Callithrix jacchus: one gene and its partners. The protein of the gene in region 3 interacts with the protein of the main gene of each other region in a biochemical or structural test. Links are inferred from orthologs where the notes say so. Each region holds a gene or a part of one and is shown on either strand. Other genes may lie near its edges. The genes, in order: RAD52, RAD54B, RAD51 and EVL.

Region 1 (3,865 bases), on a different chromosome or scaffold from region 3:
CCCGGCCCCTGTTTTGGCTTTTATATTACTTTCAGCCTGTTAGTGCTGAGGGGCATATGAACCACAAAGCAAGTCTTCTATGAATCTTCTTCACAATTGGTATGGAAAAACTGGGCAAAAGCTCAACGGATCTGGGACAGGCTTTGTTTGCACTCTCTGAGTAAGGACTACCTACCCCTGGACGGGGCAGTGGGGATTCCCACTGAATCTGGACTCTGAAATAAACGAAAGTTGATAAATACCTGCCAAAAGCTCCCGTTATCCTTAATCTCAATTTGGCCTTATATTCAAAGACATCTCAGAAATACAAGGAGTTTTTTTTTTTGAGACGGGGTCTCACTCTTGCCCAGGCTGGAGTGCAATGGCACGATCTCAGCTCACTGCAACCTCTGCCTTCCTGCCTAAGCCTCCCAAGTAGGGAGTACCACAGGCATGCGCCACCACGCCTGGCTAATTTTTATGCATTCTTGGTAGAAATAGGGCTTCATCATGATGACATCAAGTGATCCACCCACCTTGGCCTCCGAAAGTGCTGGGATTACAGGCGTGAGCCACTGCACCCGGCCACGGCTTTCTAATGTACAGATGGACTAAGTATTTGCAGCAAAAAAAAAGTTATTTACTCTGAAATTTCTAATTCTAGAAGATTATATCAAGGCCCATTTACTTCCATAGGGGAAAAAAAAGATCATTGTCTCTAGAAATGGGAAAATGTATAGCAGATTTAAATATCCAAATTTCCTGGGCTCATCTCTCCTGCACATAGCTTGAGAGAAGTCCCAGCGAGGCCTGGTTTAGAGCCAGCTACAGGGTTACTGGCAGAGAATCAGGTGACCCTGTCGCTAGACTTCCTCCTGCTGACACCTCCCAGGGCTCTGCTCCCATCCACACACACCCTCACTCTTCTCAACTGGTGGGGTGGAGACGAGGACTTGCTGCTTCTCCATCTGCTCCCGGAACTGCTGCTGCAGCTGCTTTTGCCGGAGCTTCCGCTGGTATGAGGCCTCGCTCTCCACAGTGGATGAGGTCAGGCGTCTGCATCAGGGGAGCAACAGGATGAGGAGGAGCTCCTAAGTAACAGCCACGGCTCCTGGGCGCACGCACACACGCACGCAGCTGGCTGGCTCTGAAGGAGGAAGTGGAGGCAGCCCCAGTAGCAGAGGAAATGGCCAGAAAGAAAAAGGAGGGGACTGAGGACACATACCGGGAGCTGCAGTCCTTATTCCCCTGTATCACATCGTGGCTTGGTCTAGAGGGGGAGGTCACCTCCTGTAGCTGTGGGTGTCCCAGGGCCATGTTCGGTCGGCAACTGTTGTATCTTGCCTCTTCCACAGATGGTTCAAAATCTTGTCTCTTCGCTTTAGTTAAATCCACTTCAACAGGCACCTAATAAGGAAAAAGGAGAAAAAAATTCCTTCAACTAGCTCTTGCCCTCCGCTTCTTCTCCCTGACTCACAGATTTAGATTCCTGGAAAATCTCATTTCATACCCTCCATCCATCATGCCTTCTAGGTCGTGCTGAGCCTGAGGCAAAGGATCTACAAATTCCAAGTAATGTTTGTAATTCTATGAGAAAGAGAAGTAAAACAACATGTCTTACTTTACACCCTTCAACAAGTGAAGTTTTGAGAAAAAGGAATCCTTCTTTGGTTTTGACCTAGGGCAAATGTTCTGTAAAATCTAATTTGAATCTTTCCTTGGCAGCTGGGTCTGTCTTTGCTGCCTCCTTGTCCTTTTTCCAGAGAAATGAGTCCACACAGTCTCTGTGGAGGTCTGCACCTTCTCAATGCTTTCTTCAAGGACTACCCCTGGAAATCGCACTCATCACTGAGGGAGCCTTGGGCATGCTGTGGCATAATAAAGTACCCTTCAAACGACAGAGGGAAGAACACTTGGGAGACACAGACGTCAGCTGCCAGCCAAGGCTGCCAGGAATCTTCCAGTGGGGGGCTCTTCCTGCATCTCATCAATGTGACAAGGGACAATCCTGTGCTGTATGGCACAGGGCAAATGATTTCATTTCCACACTGTGATTCCTACAGAAATCCAGAACATTTTTACTTGGGAAAACATCTCTCAATTCATAAAAGTGATGTTGATGGAATAATTAATATGAGGGATTAAGATTACATTTTGAAAACCTGAAAATGAAAATTATAGTGAAGATTTCACATTTAATTTGAAAGATAAATGAGTCGTTTAAAAAGAAATGAGCTTTGGCTGGGCGCGGTGGCTCATGACTGTAATCCCAGCACTTGGGAAGCCGAGGCAGATCAGTTGAGTGTAGGAGTTCAGGACCAGCCTGGCCAACATGGCAAAAATACAAAAAAAAATCAGAGGAGCTCCTGAGTAACAGCCCATCTCTACTAAAAGTAAAAAAAAAAAAAAAAAAAAAAAAACCTGGGCATGGTAGCACACACCTATCATCCCAGCTACTCAGGAGACTGAGGCAGGAGAATCACTTAAACCCAGGAGGCAGAGTTTGCAGTGAGCCAAGCTTGCACCACTGCACTCCAGCCTGGGTGACAAAGCGAGATGTGTCTCAAAAGAAGAAATGAGCTTTGAAAAATATGACAGACTGGCAATACCAAATGGTGTCAAAGATTTGGAACAATTGGAACTGACACAATGCCGTGTGGGAGTGTGAATCAATACAGCCACGCAGGAAAACGGGAGGAACCCACTGGAACAAACCATGCAGCTATCTTCTCACCCAAGAATTCCCAACAAAAGTGAGCGCACATGTTCACCAAAAGAATGCTAACAGCAGCTCTATTCCCAACAGCCAAAAGCTACCAAAAACAAAACATCTCTGACTAGAAAACTAAACTGCCACATACTCATGCAAAATAAAATGACACAGCAATGAAATCTCACAACCATGCTGAATTCAAGTAAGATACAGAGTTCAAACTATAGGATTCCAAAAAAGCACATAACAATAAAAACAAATCTGTGGTTTTTGTTTTTGAGACAGGGTCTCGCTCTGCAGCCCAGGCTAGAGCACAGTGGTGTGATCACAGCTCACTGCAGCCTGGGCCTCCTGGGTACAAGCAATTCTCTCAGAGCAGCTTCCCAAGGAGCTGGGACTATAGGCATGCACCACCATGCCCAGCTAATTTTTATTTTGTAGAGACAGGGTCCCACTATGTTGTCCTGGCTGGTCTCTAACTCCTGGGTTCAAGCAATCCTTCCTCCTTGGCCTCCCAAAGTGGTGGAATTACAGACGTGAGCCACCGCACCTGGCCAATCTGTGTTGTTAAAAGTGGTTTGCTCAGTAGTGGGAAGGAGGGCAGAGGATGGCAGTGACTGCAAGGAACACATCTGGGCCTTCTGGGTACTGGTAATGTCTTACCTTGATTCAGATATTGACTATGTGGATGTGTTTGGTTTGAAAATTCAGCAAGCTAAACATGGATGATATGTGCACTTGTCTACATGTCTATATGTACTTTTTAATACTTCAGTCAATTTTCTTAAAGTATAAACTGTACAATTCCACTTGTGAACTTTACATATATAAAGTTCAGGCCAGGCCCAGTGGCTCACACCTGTAATCCCAGCACTTTGGGAGGCTGAGGCAGGCAGATCATCTGAGGTCAGGAGTTCAAGACCAGCCCGACCAACATGGAGAAACCCCACCTCTACTAAAAATACAAAATTAGCCAGCGTGGTGGCGCATGCCTGTAATCCTAGCTACTCAGGAGGCTGAAGCAGGAGAATCACTTGAAACTGGGAGGTGGAGGTTGTGGTACGCCAAGATCATGGCGTTGCACTCCAGCCTGGGCAAAAGAGGGAAACGCTGTCTCAAAACAAAACAAAAAAATGTTCAAAAACAGGAAAAAGTAATCTATGGAAGTCAGAA
Region 2 (3,865 bases), on a different chromosome or scaffold from region 3:
TCGTTGACTGGTAACCATTATTGGGTAATCGGGCGGCAAGGTGGCTTTTTAATTTGAGGACTCCCTATCCTCAAATAGGATCTTTTCTGTGGAATCCTTTAAGTCTTTCCATAGATGAATCCTTTAGTAATATCTTCCTTGGGCTGGTATGTGGGGTGCCTGTCTGCTGCTGTTCTGGTAGTTGGCAGGCAAAGGGGAGAGAGATCTAATTCAGTATCTAGACTTTCATTAACAATTTTTTTTAAGACAGGGTCCTGCTGTATTGTCCAGGCTGGACTGACACTCCTGGATTTAAGTGATCTTCCTGTTTCAGCCTCCTGAGTAGCAGGTGCTAAAGCTATATGCCACTACATTGGCTCTTCTGCCTTCTACAGTTGGTTCCCTGGTCTAAGTTTCTTTGATTTATTTTCTCCAGAGAATAAATATTTTATTTGAGAAAGAAAACTGCTGATCACATGGGAGCAGGGCCTGGGTTCTATGTACCAATGTTGTAATAGCTTCAGTCTAAACTCCTTCCTTCTGAGGTACCTTAGGAAGATTCTGTGATGCAAATGAACTTTCATTTGTTTCTTATTGGAATTTCCCTTTTTGCGCATGTAGGTGTCACTTTTTGTATACTCCTAAGCAGGTGACTGCTTCACTATGCTTTCTGTTTTCAGATATCTTCAGAGTTAGTGTTTCTGTTCATTTTTGTATTTTGCTCATTCTCTTGATATTTTTAGAGTGACGTCAGAGAGATGAAGAAGGCAGAAAGGTCTTTGCTTCACTGTCTTAAAACTGGAAGTTTAGATATTGACTTTAAAATGGATTATGTAGAAATACCTTTGTTTTAATTGTACAGGGTCATTGTTGCACACTCTCTAAATGTCAGTGATAATATTATTGTGGTATTTTCTTTCAACTAAGACAATCTAAAGCTGCCTTTAAATTATATCTAAAGAATCTTTCTTTTTGATTGACAGGGTGGTGTTGGTATCCAACTATACACAAACCTTGAACATTTTACAAGAAGTATGTAAGCGTCATGGATATGCTTATACAAGACTTGATGGGCAAACACCAATCTCTCAAAGGCAGCAGATTGTTGATGGCTTTAATAGTCAACACTCTTCTGTTTTTATTTTTTTGTTAAGTTCAAAAGCTGGTGGTGTAGGACTTAACCTTATTGGAGGATCTCACTTAATTCTTTATGACATTGATTGGAATCCAGCCACTGATATTCAGGTAGGAATATTTATGCATTAGATAGATATTATTGAATGCCTGGGAATGCAGTGCCTATTGAGGATGCAATATGATGATGATAGATAATAACTACTGCATAAAGAGCCCTTATTTTGCATGAAGCACTCTGCTAAGTGCTTTCCATCTATTTAATCTTCCTAACAAGCCTACAAAGGTTGATATTAATAGTCCCATTTTACAGATGAAGATACGAAAGCTTGTTCTAGATCCCACAGCTTGTAAGATGCAGAGCCAGGATTCAGACCTAAACCTGTATGTCTCCAGGTTCTAGTTTACTGCAGAGTTGGGCGTTTAGGATGTTCATGACCATCAGGTGAAGACAATAAAGTGTTGTGGATCCTGTTAGTGTTTATGCAGGCTACAGTATGGGTATAAATATAACATATTTAGGAAAATATTTGAGAAGCCTTTGGTTTTCTTTAGAGAACCATCCATCCTTTTGTATCTTGAGTTTTCTACCTGTAGGTTTGCACCTCAGTTATGTGCATTAGGGGATCCCAAGACAACCCTCAGGTTTAATAATTCACTAGAAGGACTCAACAGAACTGGAAAAAGAAGCAGTACTCACAGTTATGTTGCATTATAGTAAAGGATACTCAAATCAGTAAGGAAAAGGTGCTGGGTTCAGGGCAGAGTCCAAGAGAGACCACAAGCTTCCAGTTGTCCTCTCCCAGTGGAGTTTTATGGACAACACTGAATTCTCTCAGCATTGATGAGTGACAATACATATGGAATATTGTCAACCAGGGAGGTTCACCCAAGTGTTGGTGTCCAGAATTTTTCTTTGGGGTCAGTCCTGTAGGCATGGACTACCTGCATGACTGACCTTAGTTACTCAGCCTTCAGCCTTCCAGAAATCCAACCACATGGCCGAAGGCCCCACCATATCACATTGTTAGCATAAACTCTCTGGTGTGGCCCAAGGCTTCTGGTAAACAGACACTCATATCAGGCAGGACATTCCAAGAGCCTAGAGATGATCTCTTAGAGGTAGGTTGAAGGCCAGATTCTTATTTGAAATGTGCAGGTTTTGAACATCAACCCTGCACTTATATGACATTATATGTTATATGTCATATAATCTTTAAACCACAGGGATCCACCTAGAGCCTTAGCTGATTACATGTATCCTAGGTACTTTTCAGGGGCAAATCTTTAGCTATTTGGACTGAGAATGAACCTCCATGCCCATGCTACACTTGGTTCTTTGTGTCTTGCTGTCCATACTCACTGTCCCATTGATGAAGATACATCCTCTCACTGTTGCATGATACCCCTGTAGTTATTTTAACATAATGAGTGTTCACTCAACCCTTTCTTTCCGCCAAGAAAAAGATATGCAGTAGGACACGCTTGGCACACCTGTAACCCTATATATGTAAAATATAGAATTCCTAATTTTAAAACATATTTCTGCAAATTGCATATGTGGAAAGGGCCATCAGTTTCTACTGTACTCTCAGAATTCTCACTTATTTTCTGTAGGCAATGTCCAGAGTATGGAGAGATGGTCAGAAGCATCCTGTACATATTTACAGACTCCTAACCACAGGTAACAACCCATCGGTATGACCAAAAATGTATTTCCTTTGAATAATTAAAATTATTTTTTGTTAGTCTGTGCTTCAGTGTCAGGAATATATTGCTATTTTGTTAACTAGTATGTTAATAAACATTTTACCCAACAAAAATAGTGAACATAAAGATCTGAAGGAAATCTAATGAATGTTTTCTCTTTAGGTACAATAGAAGAAAAGATCTATCAAAGGCAGATCAGTAAGCAAGGTCTTTGTGGGGCAGTTGTCGATCTCACTAAGACATCGGAACATATTCAGTTTTCACTAGAAGAACTTAAAAATTTGTTCACCTTGCATGAAAGTTCATCTTGTGTTACTCATGACCTGCTTGACTGTGAGTGTACAGGAGAAGTTCATACAGGTTAGTTGTATTTTAATTCTGTTATTATGTAGTAAAGTTAATTTACCTCTCTTTAGCAGTTGAAAATATTAAAGAATAACTTTATAATATTTACCATTTGCATATGGTAGTTTTCTTTTTTTCTTAGCTCATAGGGCAGCTGCCAGAGATATTTGAGATATATTTAGTAGAATCTTATTCTCTCAATTTTAGCTTTTTACTTCTGAATCACTTGTGAAAAATTGAACTTATTTAGGAAAGTCTTTCAAATCCTTATGTAATGGCTTTGGAGATAGGAAAAAAAGAAATTATTTTTTTTTGAGGGGGAGACAGGGTCTGGCTCTGTTACTGCCTCACCCAGGCTGGAGTGCAATGATGCAATCATGGTTCACTGCAACCACCGTCTCTTGGGTTCAAGTGATCTTCCAGCTTCAGCCTTCTGAGTAGCTGGGACTAATGGTGTGTACCACCACACCTGGCTAATTTTTATATTTTTTGTAGAGACGAGATTTCTCCATGTTGCCCACATTGGTCTGGAACTCCTGGGCTTAAGCAATCTGCTCACCTTGGCCTTCCAAGTTCTGGGATTACAGGTGTGAGCCACCGCGTCCAGCCAGAAAAATAGTTTTAATTCCTATTTGTCTTTCACAAAAAACATACACTTGACAGAATAATCCTATTTATGTTGTATAGAATTTATTCA
Region 3 (4,578 bases):
CACTTTCACTCTTCTGAAATCTATCCTTCGATGCCACAAGGTAATAGTGTGAGGATTAACTAAAAACTTTGTCAACTTTAAAGTGTGACATGGTAAAAGCCCCATAAAACTGCATACCTCAACCATACCTCGGCTTTCTGTTGAAACTGCTCTCTATAACCCAAATGTGAATAAGCAATTAAGGACTGTAATTTCCACCCTACCCAAATAATGTGTAAACAAATGCTAATCTTGACTTTTGTGAACCACTTATGTAACAATCAGAATGTCAAAAAAGTCCCCTGGCGCTCGGCAGTCCAGAGCCCCTCACCCTCATCTTCGCCCAGGAATCCACTGGAATGTCTGGAGCCCCTCACCCACATCTCCGCCCAGGAGGTGATTTACAGAATCCACTGGCCCTCAGAACGTCTGAAGCCCCTCACCCCCACCCCTGCCCCTCACCCTCACTCCCGAGGTGGTTTTACGGGTATAAAAGGTCTTGGCACCCTCCTTTCGGGGCCACGGGTTGGAGAGTGAGTCCTCGGTGGCCGCAGGCAATAAAGACCCTGCAATTTAGCATACTTTTGTCTTAGTGTTGACTTTCTATGCTCAGGCCAGTACAACAAAAGCACTCCACAAATAGGAAGTAGTAATAAGGCCGTTGCAATGGCTCACACCTGTAATCGCAACACTTTGGGAGGCTCAGGTGGGAGGATCACTTGAGGCCAGGAGTTCAAGGTCAATTTGGACAACAGGGAGAGATGCTGCCTCATTAAAAAAAAAAAAAAAAAAAAAAAACAATAAATAAGACCAGGTGAGGTGGCTCCTAAAGTACTGGGATTACTGGCATGAGCCTCCGCGCCCGGCCCTACTTCAGCTTTTAAAACCGGAATCAAGAGTCAAAACTTTTTGGTAAACCACGATACTGTGTAGGTTATCAAATTCATGTCTTCTTCCTCTGAAGTCCTGCAAATCTCCAGTAAAGTACCACAAATTGACGAATATTCCAGCCATTTCTCTCTCCCGTCCGTTAGCTCCATTTCCCAATTATATCCATCTTCTCGAGCTTCTCAGCTCCTTCACCTTCATGAGGCCTGGAAAGCACCCGGCTCCAGAATGTGAGTCGGAGGCTCAGAGCGACCCTAAGTGCCAAAAGCCGACGTTCAGACACTGCCGAAAACCAACCACAAAAGAGGTAAGGCTCCGGGACGAAGGTAGGTAGCCGCGGGCCCGCCGGAGGTGCATGCCGGGAGATGCAGTCCCGAGCCGACGCATTACCTCTTGGGAGTTGTAGTCTTTGATCTGGTAAACATAAAACGGTTTCTGTAGACACCTGAGAGAGGAAAAAAAAAGTGAAAAGATAAAACGGCAACTCGGATAAGTCTTCCTCCCCCACTCCCCCAACCCCCGCCCCACCCGTGAGGGACTGGGGTGGGAGTAGGGGCGTTGCTGTGGCTGGCCTCGAACTCCTAGGCTCACTGTGGTTCTCTCGCCCCCACGTCCCGAGCAGCTGGGACTACAGGAGTGAGCCACAGCGCCCGGCATAAACTTTGAATTAGTACTCGTGCAAAAAGGGACGAGGTCGGTCCGTAACCTCGCAGGCTCATGTTCTCGCGCTCCCACCTTGCCCTGGGGCGCAGGGCGGAAGCGGTGAGAAGGCGGATCCAGGAGGCTGGAAGACGTTACGCCGACGCGGGCGTGACCCCAGGCCTAGAAGCTTTGGCGGGAATTCTGAAAGCTGCCGGCGGAGGGCAGACAGCGGCCAGAGACCGATCCCTAATGAGAGCGCAGCGCTTGCAGAGGCGCGAAGCTGGGAGCTGAAACTCGCCTGGATTGTGCGCACAAGGCTGGGGCAAGCGAACAGAGAAGTGGAGCGCAACCCAGGGGCGTTGGGGTCCGCTCAGGTCGCGCGCGTGCTAGGCCCACGGGCTGAAGTTGGAGCGCGCGGCCCGCTGGAGCGAGCAGCGCTGCGGGACGAGGTGAGTGCGTGAGGCGCAGGCCGTCCACAGCCGCGGCTCGTGCTCGCCTACCTGGGTGCGAGCCGGCTCGTTGCCCAGCGGCGGCTGGTGGGGCCTTCGCGCGCAGTGTGAAACCTGGACGTGGCAGGGCGGGTTGGCGCCCGACCGACCCTCAGCTGCTGGGGCGAAAACACAGTGGACCCCAGGCTTTAGAGCTAGGGGAGAAACAGTAGAACCGTCATTGCCAACACCCATTTTATGGGCTTGATCGAGGAGTCCGAGAGGACTGTTTAATATCACCGCCAGGGCTTCCGGATTCCTGGTCTTTCCATTACAGCAAGGTGTAATGGAAAGTTGGAGGTTGCCTTAGAAAGTACCCAAACTCCAATTGCCAAAAAAAAAAAGAAAGAAAAAATGTCGTCATTTGATGCAGAAAACCATTTACGTGACGTCTAGAGAATGTTCTGAAGTGAGGTTTGGGTTTTTGTTTTGTTTTTGTTTGTGTTTTTTGTTTTTTTTGAGATGGTGTCTCCCTCTGTCGTCCAGGCTGGGAGTGCAGTGGCCCGATCACGGCTCACTGCAACCTCCGCCTCCACGGTTCAAGCGCTTCTTCTGCCTCAGCCTCCCGAGGAGCTGGGATTGCAGGCGTGCGCCACCACGCCCGGCTAATTTTTTGTAGAGACGGGGGTTCTGTTGACCATGTTGGTCAAGTTGGTCTCGAACTGCTGACCTCAACTTACCCTTCCGCCTCAGCCTCCCAAAGTGCTGGGATTACACTGTGAGGCACTGCATACGGGTTTCTAATGCGATTATGTCGCTTGTTTTTGAATTTTATATACAAATATATCAGGAGTGTTACTTCACATGGTTGCCAATACGATATTTTTCAGTCTTATTAAATTTTAACTCTTTTGCTGGGTACACAGTAATGTCTCATGATTTTGATTTTCCTGATTACTGATTAGGTTGGGCATTTCTTCATGTGTTTTTGGCCATTTGGATATCTTCTGTGATGTGCTTGTTAAAATCTCTTGCCTCATTTTCTGTTGAACTGTCTTTTACTGATTTGAAGTTCTTTATATTCTGATTATCAGGCCTCAGTTATGTTAGTGCTAAGTGTTTTCTCTGCTGTAGTTTGACTTATTCTCTTAGTAGTGTCCTTTGATGAATAGAAGTGCTGAATGTAGTTCAGGCCAGGCGCCATGGCTCATGCCTGTAATCCCAGCACTTTTGGAGGCTGAGGGTGATAGATGATCAGGTCAGGAATTCAAGACCAAGAACCTCAGAGGTGGAGGTTGCAGTGAGCCGAGATGGAGCCACTGCACTCCAGCGTGGGCAATAGAGCCAGACTCTGTCTCAAATAAATAAATAAATAAAAAATAAATGTTCAGTTTTCAACATTTCCTCTTTGGCTAGTGAATTATATATCCAACTTCATGAACTCTTTTTCTGTCCCAAGGTTGTGAAAATATTATCTTATATTCTGAAAAGTTTAATTTATCTCTTACATTTAGATTGGGTGGAATCTATTAATAAATTGGAAATTGATTTTTGTTTGTGGTATGAGAGAGGGACAAAGTTCATTTTTCTCTCTAAGGCTATTCAATCAACCCAGCACTGCTTATTGAACAAAACCATCCTTTCCCCATTATTCTGCAGTACTGTATTCATAAATTATGAAGGGAAATATTTAAGTTGCACTGACGTGATTCTTGGCTGGGTGTAGTAGTGGCTCATGCCTGCAATACCAGCACTTTGGGAGGCCGAGGTGAGTGGGTCATCTGAGGTCAGGAGTTCGAGACCAGCCTAGCCAACATAGTGAAACCCCATCTGTATTAAAAGTACAAAAATTAGCCAGGTGTGGTGGCATGCGCCTGTAATCCTAGCTACTTGGGAGGCTGAAGCAGGAGAATAGCTTGAACCCAGGAGGTGGAGGTTGCAGTGAGCCAAGATAGCGCCATTGTACTCCAGCCTGGGTAATAAGTGGGAAATTCAATCTCTAAATAAATAAATGAGTAAGTAGCATTGAAGTGATTCTTTCTTTTTCTTTTCTTTCTTTCTTTTTTTTTTTTTTTTGAGTCAAAGTCTTGCTCTGTTGCCCAGGTTGGAGTGCAGCGGCATGATCTCAGCTTACTGCAGCCTCCACCTCTTGTGCTCAAGCAATTCTCCTGCCTCAGCCTCCCAAGTAGCTGGGACTACAGGTGTGTGCCACCAAGCTCGGCTAATTTTTTAAATTTTTAGTGGAAATCCGCCTACCTCAGCCTCCCAAAATGCTGGGATTATAGGTGTGAGCCACAGCACCAGCCAAGGTGATATTTCAGTACATACGTACATTGTATAATGAATGATCAAATCAATTCAGTTCAAACATTTGTCATTTCTCTTTGTGGTGAGAACATTCAAAATACTCTTTCTGGCTATTTTGAAGTATACATTACATTAGTGTGCATTGTAGTCACCCAACTGTGAAATAGAACACTAGAAATTATTCCTCTTGTCTAACTGAAACTTTGTGCCTGTTGACCAACCTCTCTCCTTCCCACTGCCCCTCTAACAGCTGTGTTCGCCTTAGTCTCTGGTTACCAGTCTTCTATTTGCTCCTTGTATGTGACCAACTTTTTTTTTTTTTTTTTGACACAGT
Region 4 (3,865 bases), about 89 Mb from region 3:
TGCCTGTCAGCAGCTCAAATGCTGTGCATTCTGCTTCATCAAGTGAGAGGATTACTCTTATTACTTAACAAGTGGCATGTTCTTGGTGCTGAAAATCATCCTGATGCACATGCCATGCACAGCGAGTGTTGGGTGTTCCCACTGTTGGACACACATCCACCCGTCGAGCATTGCCACAGACCTGTCACAGGGGCAGCTGTGTGTGTGCTACATGGGGGAATAGGTCCCTCCTCGGCATGCTTGCAAGAAGTCAGCGAGATGACACACAGGAGGCATCTGGCCCATGGGGCTCAGGGCTTGGGGTGTTGAGGGCCAGAAAGGAGTCTGCACTCCTCTGCAAAGGTCCTGGAGCTTCCTGCAGCCTTCCCCTTCCCCTTTGTCCACAGGCTGGATTCACTCCCCACTGAGATTTGGGGTTTTCAGTTTTAAATATTTAATGTTTTGCTAATTATAAAAGTTGTATGTGTTCACTGGGAACATTTGGAAAACTGAGGTTTTATAGAGTGCCCAGTGGTGTCCTGCCCCAGCCCCAAGCAGTGTTCCTAAACAGACTTCCTTCTTCTCCATCTTAGGAAGATCCTAGTACCTCCCCCTCTCCGGGGACCCGAGCAGCCAGCCAGCCACCTAACTCCTCAGGTGAGATGGCGCCCCCACTGACCTCATGTATGAAGCAAACAGGGCAAGGGGGCATGTGAGGCATGAGGTCTCAGAGTGGGGGGAGCACCCTTCAAAGAGGACTCTCTGATCCAGCCTCCTCAGTTTGCCTGAGCAGAGAGCCAGGCCACACAGAGGGAAGCCCAGTTCTTATGAGTCCCCCAGAGCATCCCCCAGGAATCCATGCAGGAGCATAGGAAGTGCTAGAACAGAGTCACCGTCATGGGTCCCCAGAGTGGCCTACGCGGCACCTCATTTCCCACCAGGACCCTGAGTTCCGCATGAGGGAAGGCACTTGCCTGATGGCACATATTCAGGGTGGGGGTTTGTGTCCAGGGCTCCTGAGTGCAGGCCGGGGCCAGTGGTCTTAAGAGGGTCAGCGTCAGGACTCATGTCTCCCATGAAACGCCAGCTGGTGACTAGCGTTACAGATATGGCAGTGGATCTTGCTTCACCGAAATGCAGCTCCTTCCCTGGCTCAGGTTTCCCGTCAGAGCTGTGGCAGGTGGGAAGGAGGAAGGAGAGAATGATGAGGTGACAAGGGCAGAGGTTCTCTACATAAGCCTTAAGAGGAAGTGGGAGGAAGACCCCAGGGTTGGTTGTTCATTCAACAGACATTGGCGCAGCACCTGCTCTGTGCCAGGCCTGTGCTCATGAGCATGGCAAGGAGAGGCAGGGGCGTCAGGCTGCCCAAGCTGGGCATGGGAGGCGCTTGCCAGCTGTTCATGTGTCTCTCTGGGGCATGCTCAGGTTGAGTGTCACCTCACTGTGAGACTGTACACCGTGTCCTCTCCTCCTAGGACTTTTGCCTGGCAGGTCGATTTGCCATGATGCATAGGTTCTTGGCTGATGAACGTGAACAATGCCCCTGCCCTGTTTGCTTCTTACAGCAGCCCAGTGAGTGGGCTATGTGTTTGCATCTGTATGATAAGTGGTTTGCTCAAGGCCACACACCTGGGACGGGTCTGTGGCCCCAGGTCTAGTGCCTGCAGTCCCAGCACCTGTCCCAGAAGGTGACTTTGAGGAAAACTACCTCAGTCCCACAGTTGGTCTGCAGGGTACCACAGCCAGGCAGCTTCCCCACTACCACTAGAGATTTTGTCTTCTGTCTCTGCTCATCCTGCAAAGTCAGCAAATTCAACTTAATGCAACAAATCTTTTGGAGTAGGCCAAAATATAATCCAATACCACTTACCTTGAAAAAGAAAAGACAAGCCAGCTGAATGGGACAGAGCCAGGCACAGCATGGGGGCCAGCTAAGGAGCCCGTCAGCAGCAGGTGCTGGGCCTCGGGTCCTGGCTGCACAGCTCATGGGAGCAAGGCTGCATTGGGAGTGTCTGGGGAGGTCCTGCCTGCTTCCCCTTCAGCCCCGTTCGCTGGGTTGCTTACCAGCAGGCCCACGTTCCAGAGAAACCTGACCACAGTGAAAGGACTCAGAACGAGGTCACAGGTCAGGGTCAACCAGGTCAAGGGAACAGGAGCTTGAGTCCTGGAGTAGGGGAGACACAGGGTGACGACAGTGGTGCCATCTAAAGCCCTCAGGGGGCTGGCCTAGGCCATGGGGGACTGAGAACAAGAAGCCAGGTTTTGGCTCTGCTCAAATTAGACCTTCTTGCCATGGGGCTCTGCACCCTCAGCATTGGGGAGAGCTTCCTTTTGGATGTTGAGGGGATTAGGGTGGCTCCTGAGTCCTCTCAGGTCTAAAGTTCTTCATCCATGAACCGAATTGACAGAGACTGGCCGGAAGCCCTGGGAGCGGAGCAACTCGGTGGAGAAGCCTGTATCCTCGATTCTGTCCAGGTGAGTGGCCCAGAAGGCCTGAGCAGCAAGGCTGGGGTGGGCAGAGGCGGGTGCTGGCGCCGATTCACATGTCTGTTTCATTCCATGCTGTAGAACCCCGTCTGTGGCAAAGAGCCCCGAAGCTAAGAGCCCCCTTCAGTTGCAGCCTCACTCTAGGTACTGAACAACCCTCCTGCTCACGTGTTCTCCAGGGTTGGGGCTCCTCTGTCCCCTGTCCTGTGACTAACACCTTGCACCCTGTCTCATGTCTTGGCATTTAACAGCTTGCTCTGGGAAGGTGATCTGTTCTTTCAGACCCAGGACCTCAGGGTCCTGTCAGTCAGCTCCTCCTCCTCCCTCTGAGGGAGAGACCGAGGCCCGGGGAGGGCAGTGACCTGTCCACAGATCCAGTGCAGGGGGCTGACTTGGAGTCTCAGCTCTGGACTCACTACATGTGACAGTGAGCAAGTTAGGGGAACTCTCCAGGCCTCTTTTTCCCCCTCCCCCCACAAAACAGGTCGGTGAATCCCTGCTGCACAGGGCAGTAGTGGGGACAGCTGTGCAAACAACAGCTGGACATGGTCACTAGGCGTGGCTGCAGCCAGCAGCTCAGCTAGTCCTAGGACTGGCCCTGAGCCCCACACCCTCTCCTCCAGCCCACAGTCCTTCCTCTGCGTCCAGCACAGAGCCAGTTTCCCCCAGACATGCTGACCATATTTCCCAAACCAAAAGCTGGCATGACAGCACGATAGAATATTTGGAACTGAGGTTGCCCAAAAAGGTGCAGGCAGCCACATCGTATCTGGAGGCCCACGTGGCCTGAATGTGAAGCCCTCTAGAACCTGCATCAAGAAATGTCTCCATTGCCACCAGAAGTTGAAGGGAACCCACCCTTGTCACAGAGGAGGAGGCACTGAAACTGGCCTTGCGGAGCGAAACGGGTGACAAGCCGAGCAAGCCCTGGCCTGTCCCTGGCAGAAATGGCCAAGACCAGGGCAGGGGGACAGAGATGAGGAAGTCTTAGCAGTCAGCTGGGGTTTGTCAAAGGCTTGTGGCCAGCCAGGCCGTGTGCTGGGGACAGTCCCTGCCTGCCAAGATCACATGAGAACAAGGCCCCTGTGGTCCTGAGGGGTGCTCCAGCAAGGGTGTGGGGCCACGTGGTGGAAGGGACAGGGTGCTTTGGGGAGTGGGGCAGGGCAGGCCTCCGTTGGGAGCTGGCATTTCATTGACCTGGACGAGGAGGAGCCTGCTGTTCGGAGAGCATGGGGACAGCCTTCCAAGCTGAAGGAAGGGTAAGTGCCAGGGCCCTGAGCCTGCAGCCACCTGCCAAGTTCTCCCACACCTCGCACCTCGGAGCAGACAGCAGGCCATGGGGCATGGGAACGGGAAGGGTGAGGAAGAGGGTGTGAGGGAGCACGGAATTAAAAGTTTG

The links.
Region 1: the proteins of RAD51 (region 3) and RAD52 form a complex in vitro, tested with the Homo sapiens proteins (6 studies listed by BioGRID). The link is inferred for Callithrix jacchus from reciprocal best matches to the Homo sapiens genes RAD51 and RAD52.
Region 2: the proteins of RAD51 (region 3) and RAD54B form a complex in vitro, tested with the Homo sapiens proteins (2 studies listed by BioGRID). The link is inferred for Callithrix jacchus from reciprocal best matches to the Homo sapiens genes RAD51 and RAD54B.
Region 4: the proteins of RAD51 (region 3) and EVL form a complex in vitro, tested with the Homo sapiens proteins (2 studies listed by BioGRID and IntAct). The link is inferred for Callithrix jacchus from reciprocal best matches to the Homo sapiens genes RAD51 and EVL.

Annotation. Positions count from the first base shown.
Region 1 is NC_133510.1:14,076,848-14,080,712, forward strand, and holds part of RAD52 (DNA repair protein RAD52 homolog), read right to left. Parts: intron 1,387-3,865; coding exon 1,205-1,386; intron 1,036-1,204; coding exon 896-1,035; intron 1-895. UniProt on the Homo sapiens protein: Involved in double-stranded break repair. Plays a central role in genetic recombination and DNA repair by promoting the annealing of complementary single-stranded DNA and by stimulation of the RAD51 recombinase.
Region 2 is NC_133517.1:32,820,035-32,823,899, forward strand, and holds part of RAD54B (DNA repair and recombination protein RAD54B), read left to right. Parts: intron 1-962; coding exon 963-1,224; intron 1,225-2,730; coding exon 2,731-2,797; intron 2,798-2,985; coding exon 2,986-3,183; intron 3,184-3,865. UniProt on the Homo sapiens protein: Involved in DNA repair and mitotic recombination. May play an active role in recombination processes in concert with other members of the RAD52 epistasis group.
Region 3 is NC_133509.1:45,885,191-45,889,768, reverse strand, and holds the start of RAD51 (DNA repair protein RAD51 homolog 1), read left to right. Parts: upstream 1-1,703; 5' UTR 1,704-1,958; intron 1,959-1,960; exon of another isoform or gene 1,961-2,411; intron 2,412-4,578.
Region 4 is NC_133509.1:135,053,235-135,057,099, forward strand, and holds part of EVL (ena/VASP-like protein), read left to right. Parts: intron 1-572; coding exon 573-636; intron 637-2,387; coding exon 2,388-2,454; intron 2,455-2,547; coding exon 2,548-2,610; exon of another isoform or gene 2,611-3,725; intron 3,726-3,865. UniProt on the Homo sapiens protein: Ena/VASP proteins are actin-associated proteins involved in a range of processes dependent on cytoskeleton remodeling and cell polarity such as axon guidance and lamellipodial and filopodial dynamics in migrating cells.